Drosophila melanogaster: one gene and its partner. Changing the gene in region 1 together with any one later gene gives a genetic interaction. Each region holds a gene or a part of one and is shown on either strand. Other genes may lie near its edges.

The links. A genetic interaction does not mean that the proteins touch.
Region 2: of Irk2 (region 1) and Ret, changing one suppresses a phenotype caused by changing the other (phenotypic suppression), as found in Drosophila melanogaster (one study listed by BioGRID).

Annotation. Positions count from the first base shown.
Region 1 is NT_033777.3:23,513,417-23,521,320, forward strand, and holds Irk2 (inwardly rectifying potassium channel 2), read right to left. Parts: upstream 6,030-7,904; 5' UTR 5,735-6,029; intron 5,290-5,734; coding exon 5,042-5,289; intron 4,903-5,041; exon of another isoform or gene 4,854-4,902; coding exon of another isoform or gene 4,654-4,853; intron 2,072-4,653; coding exon 1,797-2,071; intron 1,744-1,796; coding exon 961-1,743; intron 911-960; coding exon 852-910; 3' UTR 793-851; intron 730-792; coding exon of another isoform or gene 632-729; 3' UTR 201-631; downstream 1-200. Other genes in the region: CG10177 (uncharacterized protein), read right to left, coding at 6,792-7,904.
Region 2 is NT_033779.5:21,195,761-21,200,550, forward strand, and holds the start of Ret (Ret oncogene), read right to left. Parts: upstream 3,003-4,790; 5' UTR 2,893-3,002; intron 1-2,892. Other genes in the region: CG31624 (uncharacterized protein), read right to left, coding at 3,641-4,177.

The DNA of each region.
Region 1 (7,904 bases):
ATTTTTCTTTAATTTTTTTCGGGTGAATTGTAATAGAGTTGCTGAAATTTGGCATTGTATTTATGGCCCGGGCATTGGGGCATACCAGGCATCTTACCCACACCCACATTTCATTAGATATCCACCCTGGGAGCGGTGATAAATGCGATAATAAATATTCAAGTTGTTTTTCTGTGAGTGTTATAATTTAGTGTTGATTAGTTTGCGCAAATAAGAGTTATTGATTCAATTTCAATTAAAAGGATATGTATGTTTCTCGCAAGCGCCATAGCCCCGCACTTCGACACACTCGATGTGAAATACTCACTCTAGTCCACTTTGGGGTCGCCCACGAACAAAAGACTCCAGCAACGAACTTGTTTTGCCCTGCGTGAGTTTGTGTGTGATTGTGTTGGGCTTTTTTTTTGGCACCTTTTGCATTGATATGCCCGAGTTATTAATGATGCCTAATGAGTGGGTTGGTCCCCAATGCAACTGCTACCTGGGAGCGAGCGGGGCAATTATGTGTCATTTGTATGCACAGCCCAAGCCCAGGGACATGCAATTTGGGTGTAGTCTCTGACTAAAGCGTTTATTAACTTATTTTCGTAGGGTAACTCGTACATTTAAGTGCGTTGATAGTCGAGGACCATTACAAGGGCACCGAGAGCTGCCAACGCAGGCGGCTTTGCCTTCCAGGTGTCTGATAGCCGGAACTGCAGGAGCACCTCGATTGGGTCGATGGGGAAGCTGTAATAACGATATCTCATAATATTATGGGTCACCATACAAGGAGCGAGGCGTTTAACTCACATAGGACAAACACGATTACAACTATAGCAACACAAGGGACGAAACACTGGAATCTGCGCCTAGGAGGCCTGGTCAGAATGATTGTGGGACAGTTGACGCATGGTAAAGGTGGTTTCTGCTAGACAAATAACAATGAAAAACGATGGATTTCGCCACTCCAACTTTTACCTGGTGTGCGGAATCCCTCCTGGATCTTGTAGATCTCGTTCAATTCCCGAGCACTGCACAACGGAGTGTCCACCTGAGTGGTTTCGTTAAAGCGAGCGTAGTCGATTTCATAGGCCTGCAGATCCTTGTTGTACAACACCACTGGATCGAAACGATGTCCCCAAAGGATCTCAGTGTTAATATAGCTGGATCTGGCTTGAGTGCTCTGTCCAGTGGACTCCACGGTGCCCTCTAGGATCACCACGATTTCGAACTTATCCTGCAGCATATCAGTGGCATTAAGATTATAGAGCGGTGAGTTCTCGTCGATCTTGTGCTCGATGACCATGGGCCAGATGAAGAACAAATCAGAGCCGGAGTCATCAGTACCGATCTCCAGTTCTGTGAAGTACTGTGTCATCACCTCACCCTCCTTGGTGCTCTTTGTCCTGATCAACTGAGCCCTCACTCCGGCTCCAATGATGTGTGATTTTCGCATGTCACCCACACGGAACATCAGCGAAAGGGTGCCATCACGTTGGCAAATTACGGCGTGTTTGGAGAACAACAAAGTCTGTGCCCGCTGTTTGGCCCTTGTCATCTTGGCAAACACTATTCCGGCCATAAATGCTGAAGACATCACGCCATAGATGGACTGGAAGCACATCATGAAGATGGCCTCTGGACACTCGGGCGAGGTGGTTCGGACACCGTAGCCAATAGTGTGCTGCGTTTCAATGGAGAACAGGAAGCAGGAAGTAAAGCCATCGATGGCCGAAACACAAGGCGCCCAACCAGATTCCTCTAAAAGATGAAATTGTCATATAACCATTGAGTTCTCTTTATATTTAACAAACCTTGGTTTTCTGGCAAGTGAGGCTCTTCCAAGTCTCCGTGTGTGTAGATAATCAGCCACCAGATGAGAGCAAAGAAGAGCCAAGACAGGATAAAGCTGAGTGCGAAGGCCAAGAGAGTCCACCGCCACTGCCAATCCACCATGGTGGTGTACATGTCCTGCAGGAAACGAACTCGGCGTCTTTGCAGGTGCTTCTGCACCACATTGCAGTCACCATTTTTGAAGACCGCTCGTCGGCGAACACGTCTCATGCTGCCAGGCCGGAAATTGCGAGATCTGTGAATAGAAAATCAAAGTATTTATACATAAAGCCTAAAAGTGTGCAGTGTATTATCAATCTTTTTGGTTTCGTTTCTATTTTACGTATCGCTTCAACCAAAGACACTAGAATAACAAGATGCGTAGCGGCCATACATTGGTTTGGCACTATGCAGCCAATTTTTTAGTGACGGCCAAAATTGCTCTCTTTCCGCTCGCTCCCGCTGAGAGCATAAGAAATCTAAAAATAGAATTTGCTTGCTTGTGTGAGTAAAAACAAGAGACGAGAACGCATATATGTGTGCGTGTTGTGCTAGAAGACGATTTTCGGACCGAAATCAATTCTGATCGAAAAAACGAATTTACATTGTACATATTAGGGTAGTTTTTGCCAATTTCGTAGCAATATGATAAAATAAAATAATTTTTAACTGACTATTACCATTTTAAAGCTTTTTAAATTTGTTTGTTAAAATCGCCGCTCGAATTAGCTACCGTTTACACATTTATATTTATGTTTAATTCTAATTTGTCTCTCATCTGACAATTTTTTAAGAAAGCGAAATATTTTTTTTTTTAAACACTTTTAATGTTAATGTTACATCATATTAAGTCAAATGACATAATAAATATAGTAAATAATTAAATATGATAACTGTTTATTGCAAAAGTCATATCAAAGACACTAGAATTATTCTAGTGTCTTTGCTTTGTTCATATCTTGAAGCACGAAGTACGGACACAAGCACTCAACAATCATTGCCTTATTAATTTTTCACACGCCGCAAGATGAATACTCTAATGACAAATATTCTTATATAAAGTCATTTTTGAAATTTATTTTTGTGATAATATGTACATAGATTTGGCTATTTCTAATCTATTTTCATATAATAATAACGTTAAGGCAATGCAAAACAAGAATTTTTCGCATGGTGCCAATTGATCAAAAATAATATAGATTTAAAGTCAAAGAACTTCTAAGGTGAAGGGCATATTTTGTGAAATTTACAATGCATGAGCGAGCATACGTGTGCACACATACAGTTGTCTGCTATCACTTTATGCGATGAAAAGAGCTGTTCGCTGTAGCACTCTCCGCTCTCTCGCTCTCTAACAAAAATTCGAGAGAGCCTGGAGCCACCTCTAGAGCCACGGCGAAAAAATCGTGTGCCAAAAAATCGTATGGCGTTACGCATCTTGTTATTCTAGTGTCTTTGCTTCAACCTTATGGGTGACATAACAAATTGGAAAATATTTATTCATTTTTTAATATTATAGGATAAAGAAATTATAAGATGTGTCCGAATTTCCTTAACCCTCTTTGTCTGGAGATTCTCATTCATCGTTCCTATTACAAATGGCAATGAATATGATTTCTATGATTTATGCACGTGTCAGATAAAATTGGATGTCTCGACATCGTGTTTTTTAATTTGCGTAAATTAAGTGTGCGCTTTTGCACTCGTCTGTTTTTGGACTGGACACACGAGAAGTGCATCTAATTAACACAGCCGCGAATGCCAATGTCGCAAGGCGGACAAATCGGACAGATTCAGATCGCAATTACGATTCACGGCAATCTGACCCATCCACTCTTATAACACTTAATTACAGCTCTCCCACAAATTGTTTGATTTATTACCCCTCTGCTTGTCACAGCAATGCATTTCAAGAGGGCTTGATGCACCGGTCGATGGTTACACCCACGTGAATCGGCATTTATCGGATGCCAATTACCTTAACCCCACATTGACACTCGCACTACTCGATTAATTGGCATTGTGCCGATTGCATTAATGCCGGCTAATCAAATTTAGAGCTCAGCGGGCTAAATTTGTGCCATATGAATCATTGGCCCGCTTTGTAGAATGTCGGCATTAATTAATTACATTTTTGAGCGGACCACGCAATAAACACATAAGAAAAAATAATAAAATCGAAATAGTAAATAAAAAGTGTCTGGGAAAAGGGAAGCTATATCCGATGGGAAATCATTTGGACAACCGTTTAGCAGGTGACAAGTGTGAGAACAAGATGCCGTCAAGATTTGGAAAAGACAGAATGGCTGGCCTAATGAATCGCATTCGTAAAGCGTCTCTAAATCATTTGCACTGCAATCTGCAGCCCGGAAAGCAAACTAGAACCGTGGGCGTAGCCATATAAATTACAACCGCAAACTGCGAGCGGCACTCTGATAATCAGCTAAACAAAAAGCCAAAAAGATGCGACAACGTGACACGGACGCACGGCGATGATGGAAGTCAACTTGTCGGCAAGTTCAAGTTGAATGTCAGGCCCCTTGACGAGCTAATTACTTGGCGGAAAGCCGGCGGAACTTTGCGTAATTGGGTAATTGTTGCCCGTAGCTCCTATTTTTACTTTCGCAAGTAAAGTTCTTAGAATATTTATAAAGAGCTCTAATTAGCGTAGTAGTGTAACAGGAACTTCAGCTAGAAGTAAACATTAAATTATCAAAATCCACTATTAAATGAGAAAGAACGAAAGTTCGAAGTTAAATCATTATAGTGACGGAAATATTTCAAACCATTCTTTTGAATCTAATGATTGAAATCAGAAACAATTCGGATAATGCGCACCCTTTGGCCAGCGAGTGGCTGGAACCCTTCAAGGCCTCGTAGTAGACTCCCGCCTGCGATGGCGTGTGCGAGATGCCCCGCATGTACTGGCGCTTCCACTCCTTCATGTGGGCAAAGGTCTCCTCCTTGTCGCCGCCGACAAGGGTTTCCGCGTCGGTGGGATCCTGCAGGACCTGAACATCGCTGAGCGGGACCTGCATTTCTCTAGACGTTTTAACTTCGCGGTTCTGAACGAAACTGAAGCTCCTCGCCAGTCGATTCAGTCCAGGCCAACGTTAAAGTGGTCTGAATTTGGCCAAGCAATTAGAGCTGCTCTAACTAATCGGCACTTATTGACCAAATCACTTAGCCCGGGAAAATAGCTTAGAAAATATCCATCACAACTCACCTGCAGCTCGGTTGGCGGGGGAACGGCTTGCCATTTTGGGATAGGCCATAGTAGCTGGTCGGCCTATTCGGCACAATTGTGATGGGATAGGATTGAGGATTGCTGATCACACTGTCCAGCGAATCGGGATCCGCTTCGATGGCCTTCTTGAGCGGTTGGGTGGCCTGTTCGCCTCCATTTGCCTGTGTTGTTGTTGGTATGGTCGTAGAGGTGGGGGCCGCCGAGTGGGTGGAGAAATTGAAACGCATCTGTGGGAGGTTGAGGTGAAGGAGTTGCCTTTTCAATTAATTCCCTTGGCGTCGAGTGGGCAAACAGAAACTTGTGATAAGTGCAACCCAGGTGCGAGAATCTATTTTTTTTTGCCAACGTCGTCAGCTGATTCACACAGATTTTTGTGGTCCGCTGGCAAAGTATACAACCATATACTTTATCAGTTTATATTATTTATGGAATAACAAGCAAACATTAACCACATTATTCAACCATAAAAATAGCAGATATTCGCCACATTGTTAAACGATTTTTATAGGCAGCTGCATAAAATCCGAGCTTGAGTTACTGAAATTTAAAGCGCTTCCGCAGCTAGCTTAGATTTTCGCACCTTTCTGTACTTTTCACAAGATCCGAGGCAAGCAATTGTAAGTCGAATAATTATTGAACATCAGCACGCTTAAGCTTAAGTAGTTTTATCACCTTTTAGATATTAAATTGATTGACACCCTTAAATCGAGATTTTGTTAGATCTCCATTGTTTTGCAAAAGAGCCTCAACAAACTTTTGGCACTTTATGATGGCATGTTGCGAACTGATAATAGGCACAATGTTTTAGTTTCACAAGCTCCGTTTCGTTATGTTTTGCCGACGCGTGTCGTTCCAGAAATGAGATGATCTGAGGACTGGAGATCAGAGGGCACTCAGAGCCACAGAGCAACTGTCACAGCGAATCTACGGATCCGCAAGTCCGACCAATGGATTAAATGACGGCCGACTGAAAGAACATTTTTCCAACTAAACAAAACTTGTGAACAGAAAGCGGTGAGCTGTAAGTGACACACACATACATGTTCAGGAAGAGAGAAAATTACACAGTGCACATCGACGATGCTCTCACAGATACTGTTACCGAAAGATACAACTTGCGGCTGTGCCGCGGAAAAAGTTCAATTGAAATGATTCGTAAATTGAAAGCGAAGCGGAAGATAAGTGCGATAAGCTCATCTTATCAACGAAATCAGAAGGCAGAGACACTTCTCAATGCAAGCGACCTTGAGTCGAAGTCGGGGAAGGGGTGGCGCCTGCTTGATATTCTGTGGGCCCCCGTGTGGTGTCGCAATATCGATAGGTTAGCCCAGAGAGTTCTGATTTATCAGATACGACTGTCACTGAATCTCCCTGTTTAAATAGACAGCGCAAACAATGGCTTTCGTTTGTATTTTGGCTCGGATTCGAGTACAAGGTGTCGTATACGTAATATCTCAGTGTTTACCATCGACTCACGCGCATTTTGGCTGCATTGTGCAAACATAAATAATAAATAAATTGTGACGTTAATAACAAATATATATGTCCATACAAGCATCGCTGTGCAGTCAACGGTATGGTCATGCGTAGTTAATTTTGACGGCATTAAGCCAATTAAAAGCGTTCACTGCCACCATAAATCTTGGGCTATTGTAATGGCCTCACTTGAACCTATTTAAATTTATTGAAATTCTAAAAAATCCGATAATACTGGAAATTTTGAACAACGCTATAGGGCCAAGAACTGGAACTTGTCGAGCTCAGCGATGGGAACACGATAGCTGGGGTCGCTCACAAGCAGTCCGTCGATCAACTGGGTAGCCTCTGGACTCATGACACTTTCCATATCCTTGGGATACGTGGGTCCACCGCTCATGATCGCTGCATAGATCTCCTTTGAATTTTTACAGGCACTAGCAAAGGGCATTTTACCGCAGAGCATATAAAACAGAGTAACACCCAGCGACCAGGAGTCCACCTGATAATCGTATCCCGACATTGCGATCATCTCGGGTGCCATGTAGCATGGAGTGCCGCAACGGACGTACAACTTGCTGCCACGATAGTAAGTGGCCAAGTCAAAGTTCGCCACTTTGACCATTTTAAAGTTCCACTTGCCGGATGAAGAGCAAACCAGCAGATTCTCCGGCTTGATGTCCCGATGAATCACCTGAAGTTGGTGCATATGCGCCAGTGCCGATACCGTGCATCTCATCACCGATCTGGCATCTGCCTCCGACAAGATACCGCGCTTCTGAATTACTTTCTGCATGTTACAGTCCAGGTGCTCTAAAACCGTGTACATATAGCGCTCATCCTCAACCGTGTACATCAGCTCGATGATGTTTGGATGCGACTGAAGCTGTCGCAGCACCTCTGCCTCCATATAGGTATCTCCGCGGTCGTTGCTTTGAGTCTGCTTGTTCACCATCTTTACGGTGCACTTCGTCCTGTTGGCCCTGGTTTGCCCGCGATATATCAGCGTCCTTGTGTTGTGCTCAACGGGCTCTATAGTCTCTATGTAAAGCTGTATGGCCTCGGGCAGGTCGTGGGACTTCATGGACTCCAGGGTTCCACTGTCTAAATGATGTTGGCCCCAACGTTTACAAGAGTCCACCATTCGCTGGAAGTCCTTGTTGATGCTGTACTTGACACAAATTATTTCTTCGTTCTTACAGCAGCAAATCACAATGTCGGTTTCGCGGAAACAACTCAGCGATGTTAAATGCGATCCGTCAGTCCGGCGGAAGTGCGCGATTGCTGATCTCAAAAGCACATGGCGTTTTAAAGACTCGGTGACTCCTTGCAGAAGAGCCGGAAAGTCCTTGAAGTGGGCTCGAGA
Region 2 (4,790 bases), on another chromosome or scaffold:
ATTTGTTTCGCATATTGATATTGTTATTAAATGGTCTTCGGTTGCTATTTTTGGCCAGCGCCAGGTGAGAGGCTTATTGGCGTTGCTTTCTGTTTTTTGTTTTATATTTTTCTAATTCTAAATTTTAAAAGTCGAGCGCCTCGGGTGCGTGCTATTTGTTGCTCTTATCATTATTAATTGTTCTTTTTGCCGATTCACTCCATGTCGAATGGCTTTCAGTTTGCTCAATCGGTTTTTAAGTGGAATAATTTAATTAAATTATTTGGGCAAACAATGTGGGTTTACTTCACAATTTGCTCTGGCTGCCTTAAGTCAAAAAGTTGAATGGTTTTTGAGACAGTTTCGGGCTTAAAATTACCAGAGTTTTGTATACAGTGGTAATGCTAATTTATTAAGATTTCTAAACTTCCTAACCAACTGCCGAAAACCCTGATGAATTTTGAATACGAAAAACAATAGAACTAGTTACGATAACTAATTCTATGCAAGTACCAAGCAACGCTCAACGAGGACGTGTCAAGGAAAAGGCAAAAAAAGTTTGTGGACGTGCGAGTACTCTACCTACTCCATACCCCACAGAGTACTCTAGGTACTCCACTCCACATCGCTCCAGTGCGGATGGATGGACGGCATATGTGTGGTATCCAGCGGTGCACGGCAGGTGTGATAAAAAGAACCCGAAAGAGACAATTGCGGCGTGAACTACCCGCTGGCCAGGGGAATGGCAATGGAAGATAGCACGCATAATTCAAACGAGCTCAAAGTCAAACAACGTGATAAGCAATTCACAAACACTGGCCGAAAAGTCGAATGGGAAAAACTGTGTAAACTGAAGCTGAAACTCATTGAATTTGGATCATTTCAATTTATTGGTAAATGGGATTTGCTTTAAGTAATTTCGGTATTTTGGTACTTAGTACAACACTCTTCTATCCGTTTTTCTTAATCATTGCAATCACATTTGCTTGAAATAAAGCACATTTTCTAAAGATAGTTTCCGATAGCATGGCCAAATGTGCGATTATCACAGTTTTATTCGCAGTGTATTCAAAGACCGAGAGACCGACTAACTGACTGACTGACTGACTGACTGGCAGTCCAAGTGTCTGCTGTCTACTTTTCGTCTGTGGGCCTCTTCAGCACCTGAGCACTTTAAAGTTCAAATCTTTTGACACACTGGGAGCTCAGTTGGCGGATGCTAATAACATACGACTTGACACAAAGAGGCTTTTGCAGCAGACACACACAGAAACTCAGAGACATTCACTGGAAGCCAACCGGTTGCCAACTGGAGGGGCTCTCAAAGGCTCGGGCCATGGCGTTTCCCCATTAAAGGTTAAGCGCGACCCAGCCGATCCGGGTGGACTTTTAAGGTGCGTCTATAGCCGTCCTGTTGCTCGAAACGCCAAAAATGGCAATTTCCATATAAAACTTATGCGAAGCCGGCAAACTTACAAACATCCGACGACCGCAAGAGTCAAAGTACGACTGTGGAGGTTCTTCAGTGCCAGTGACTGCCCCGACTGTTTTTTAACTGCACTGCGACAAAAAAAGATTCTAAGAATGCGTACTGGGAGCTTAATTTTAATCAAATGTTTGCCTTTTGCATTGCTTTATCATAATGAAGAACATTTTGCATTGCAAAGATTTAATGAATACAGAAATGTAAAAAAAAATTTTTTAATGTGTCGTGTTTAAAAATATTATGGCTTACACAATAAAAAAAAATGTTGCTTCATTTGGTTTCATCGAATTATTGCTACTTTTTCAATCTTTCCCCTAACTTTAAATGGTATTTTATATATGAGTATTGGTATAATGAGCTGTGAATAAAAACCAAATAGAATAATTCGATGATATTATTGACTTAGGCTTGGACCTTTTCCAGTGCCATCGGCTTGTAAGTTATTTTTTCGTTCACAGACATCTACGAATTGAAAAAGAATGCCAGAGTAGCGTCAATAAATTTGGCCTGGAAGCTTAGAGCCTGGCTTGGATTCCATTTCCACGAAAAAAGGTTCTGGAATGACAGCCGCTTTAAAGGTGTGCGTGATGTTCTTTTTGATCCAACACAGTCAGCAATAGCAAGTATTACAAACCCTAATTGATCCCATTGATTGAGTTTTTAGACCTGATCGCTTGTAGACACATTCGTAAAATGCAAATTCACATCGCGACTGACATTTGCATATGCTAACAATTAATTTTCTGTCACCTAGGTAATCAAAATAAAACATTTTCCAATTAATCCCACATTTTATAATTTGTAAGATTAACATTTTTATAAGCTCTGCCTCCACCTGAGCAAACGCAAGCACGAAAGACCTTAACAGGCATTTAAAATGTAGAAGTACAAGATTAGATATCTTTTGTATTAATTAAAATAATTATCAATTAGAATAAACGCTCAGACCACCCACACTTAGTGTTTTACTATCAAAGATGTGTCTTTGCATACATACATATATGTATATATATATATATTTATAGCTAATCTGTTATCCCGCCACTTCAGCTTTAATATATTAAAATATTTTCCTCAATAAACTGCAATTACTTGAAGTTGCAAATTGAGTAAACTAATTCCACTTCAACACGCACGGCTAAATCACAATTATCTGATGCCAATCTACACGATATACTGTATTGAGTTGTCAGTGCCACTAGACGTGAGGATATTGGCTGCATTTGGAAAATCCGAATCTGGAAAATCTGGCCATAGATCGCAAATAAATTTCAAAGTTCGCAACATACGTAAACCACGATCTTGATTTTGATAGACACGATTTATGGAGGCTTGCAGCTGCTGCAGCTTTTTACAGACTCCTTAATTGTTCGACTCAAACGGCAATTATTTATGGGACAGTTTCAACAGTGTAATTAATTAGCCACCTCTCTTTTCCCGTTTTCGGGCAGCTTTTCCGCGGAAATACTTTTTGGTTTGTGGAAAATCGCTTAAAGACCAACCGAACCGCTTTGCACGAGCTCCGTTTGAAAAATGAAACTGAAACCGGCAGCCGGCAACTCCAAAGCCGCAGAGCCCACAAAATCGTAACGAAAACTTGACTAACGAAGCCGCTTCGTGTATTTTACCCGAATGTATGAATTTTCCACGATGACGGCACGTCAGCACACCCTCGCAGAGTTTTCCATTTTCCGCTGCACTGCTGGGATACCCCTCCTCCAAACAACATAATTCCACCGACTAATGGCGTTTATGAGATAATCAGATGTGCATGTTCCAAGGCTGGGTAGCATATTTACCCTTGGAAACATGATCTCATATCAAGCACACTTTCCTCGACAGCTTCTTTTCACTGGGTTTGGGGAAAATATTTACTCAAAATTGGGAAAGGGCTTGCGTTCTAGTTTATCTCGCAGTAATCAGTATGTTGTTGTGGGTGTTGTTGGTCTTAGGCAAATCTTAACGATAAAAGGGTTTACCTGGCCACCCCAATACAGAGACTTTACATATTTATTTTTATTTAGTGTGTGCGTGTGCGAAATGTTAAGTGTGGTCAAATGTGTGGGTCTGATTTCTTTCATGCCTCTAGGCTTCATAAGCATCGGGAACTATTTCAACATTAGTGTAAGAAAGGAACTAAACAATTTGGAGTAAGATCATGGGTCCGGGACGATGTTAGCAATTGCAGGCGGGGCACACGGGCTTGTCCCCGTCGATGGTAAAAGTCTGCGAGGTTATAGGATTCTCGCATTTGTTGCACTGGAAGCAATTGCGATGCCACTTCACGTTCATGGCGAGCACCGCTGAGTCCGTTATAGGCTTCTCGCACTTGGCGCACCTGGCAGCAAAGAGGTTCTCGTAATCCTGTTTGCAATAGGGCTTGCCGTCGCGCTCATAGAACGTTTGACTGGCGAGCGGCTTCTTGCAGGCACCGCCGCAGCAAAAGCAAGCTTCGTGCCACCTCTCCCCCATGGCGCAGATGGTTTTTTCAAGGATCGGCTTCTTGCAGCCGGCACAGGTGTAGGTGTACCGCTCCACGAAGCACTTGTTGCACACTGGTTCTCCGCTCTGAACATTGAAGGTGGCATCCAGGATCTGCTCATCGCAGTGGTGGCACAGGAAGTGCTCCGGGTGCCACGTCTTGCCCAGGGCGGTGATCATACGCTTGGTGATGGCCTCCTGGCACTTGTGACACACAATGCTCTCAGTCATTTTGGCTTCTCGATTGGTAACTGCTAATAAAAAATGATTTTTAATGCGCATTACCAAGGGATTGTTCAATTACTCTTTTTTGATTGAATTGCTCGTATATATCGTAAATTGAGGTTAAAATACAAAATGTACAAAACAGGGCAGCTATCGATTATTTTATTGAAAGAAACAACGGAAGATGGCTATGGAACGATAAACACTGGGCAACGCAAATATTAATGAGACAAATTATAATTCTGTACTTATTTTAAGATTGGGTGTATTTCTTACTGGGTTTGTCGCCTGTTTCACTACTTCCTCTTTTCGCAGTGTGTTTTTCCTAGTTCGTAATTGTACTGTTCTCATATATCAAAACAGTTGTCACAGGGCCACCGTTGTTACTTTACTTTCTATTAGATGTTTCACACAAAATGGGAGCACAACAACAAGCAATAACGGGTATAATAAGGGTATACTAGATTCGTTAAAAAGTATGTAACAGGCAGAAGGAAGCGTTTCCGAACATACAAAGTATATATATTCTTGATCAGGATCAATTGCCGAGTCGATCTAGCCATGCCCGTCTGTTCGTATGAGATTCAGCATACAAATTCTAGAGACAACGATGCAGCGC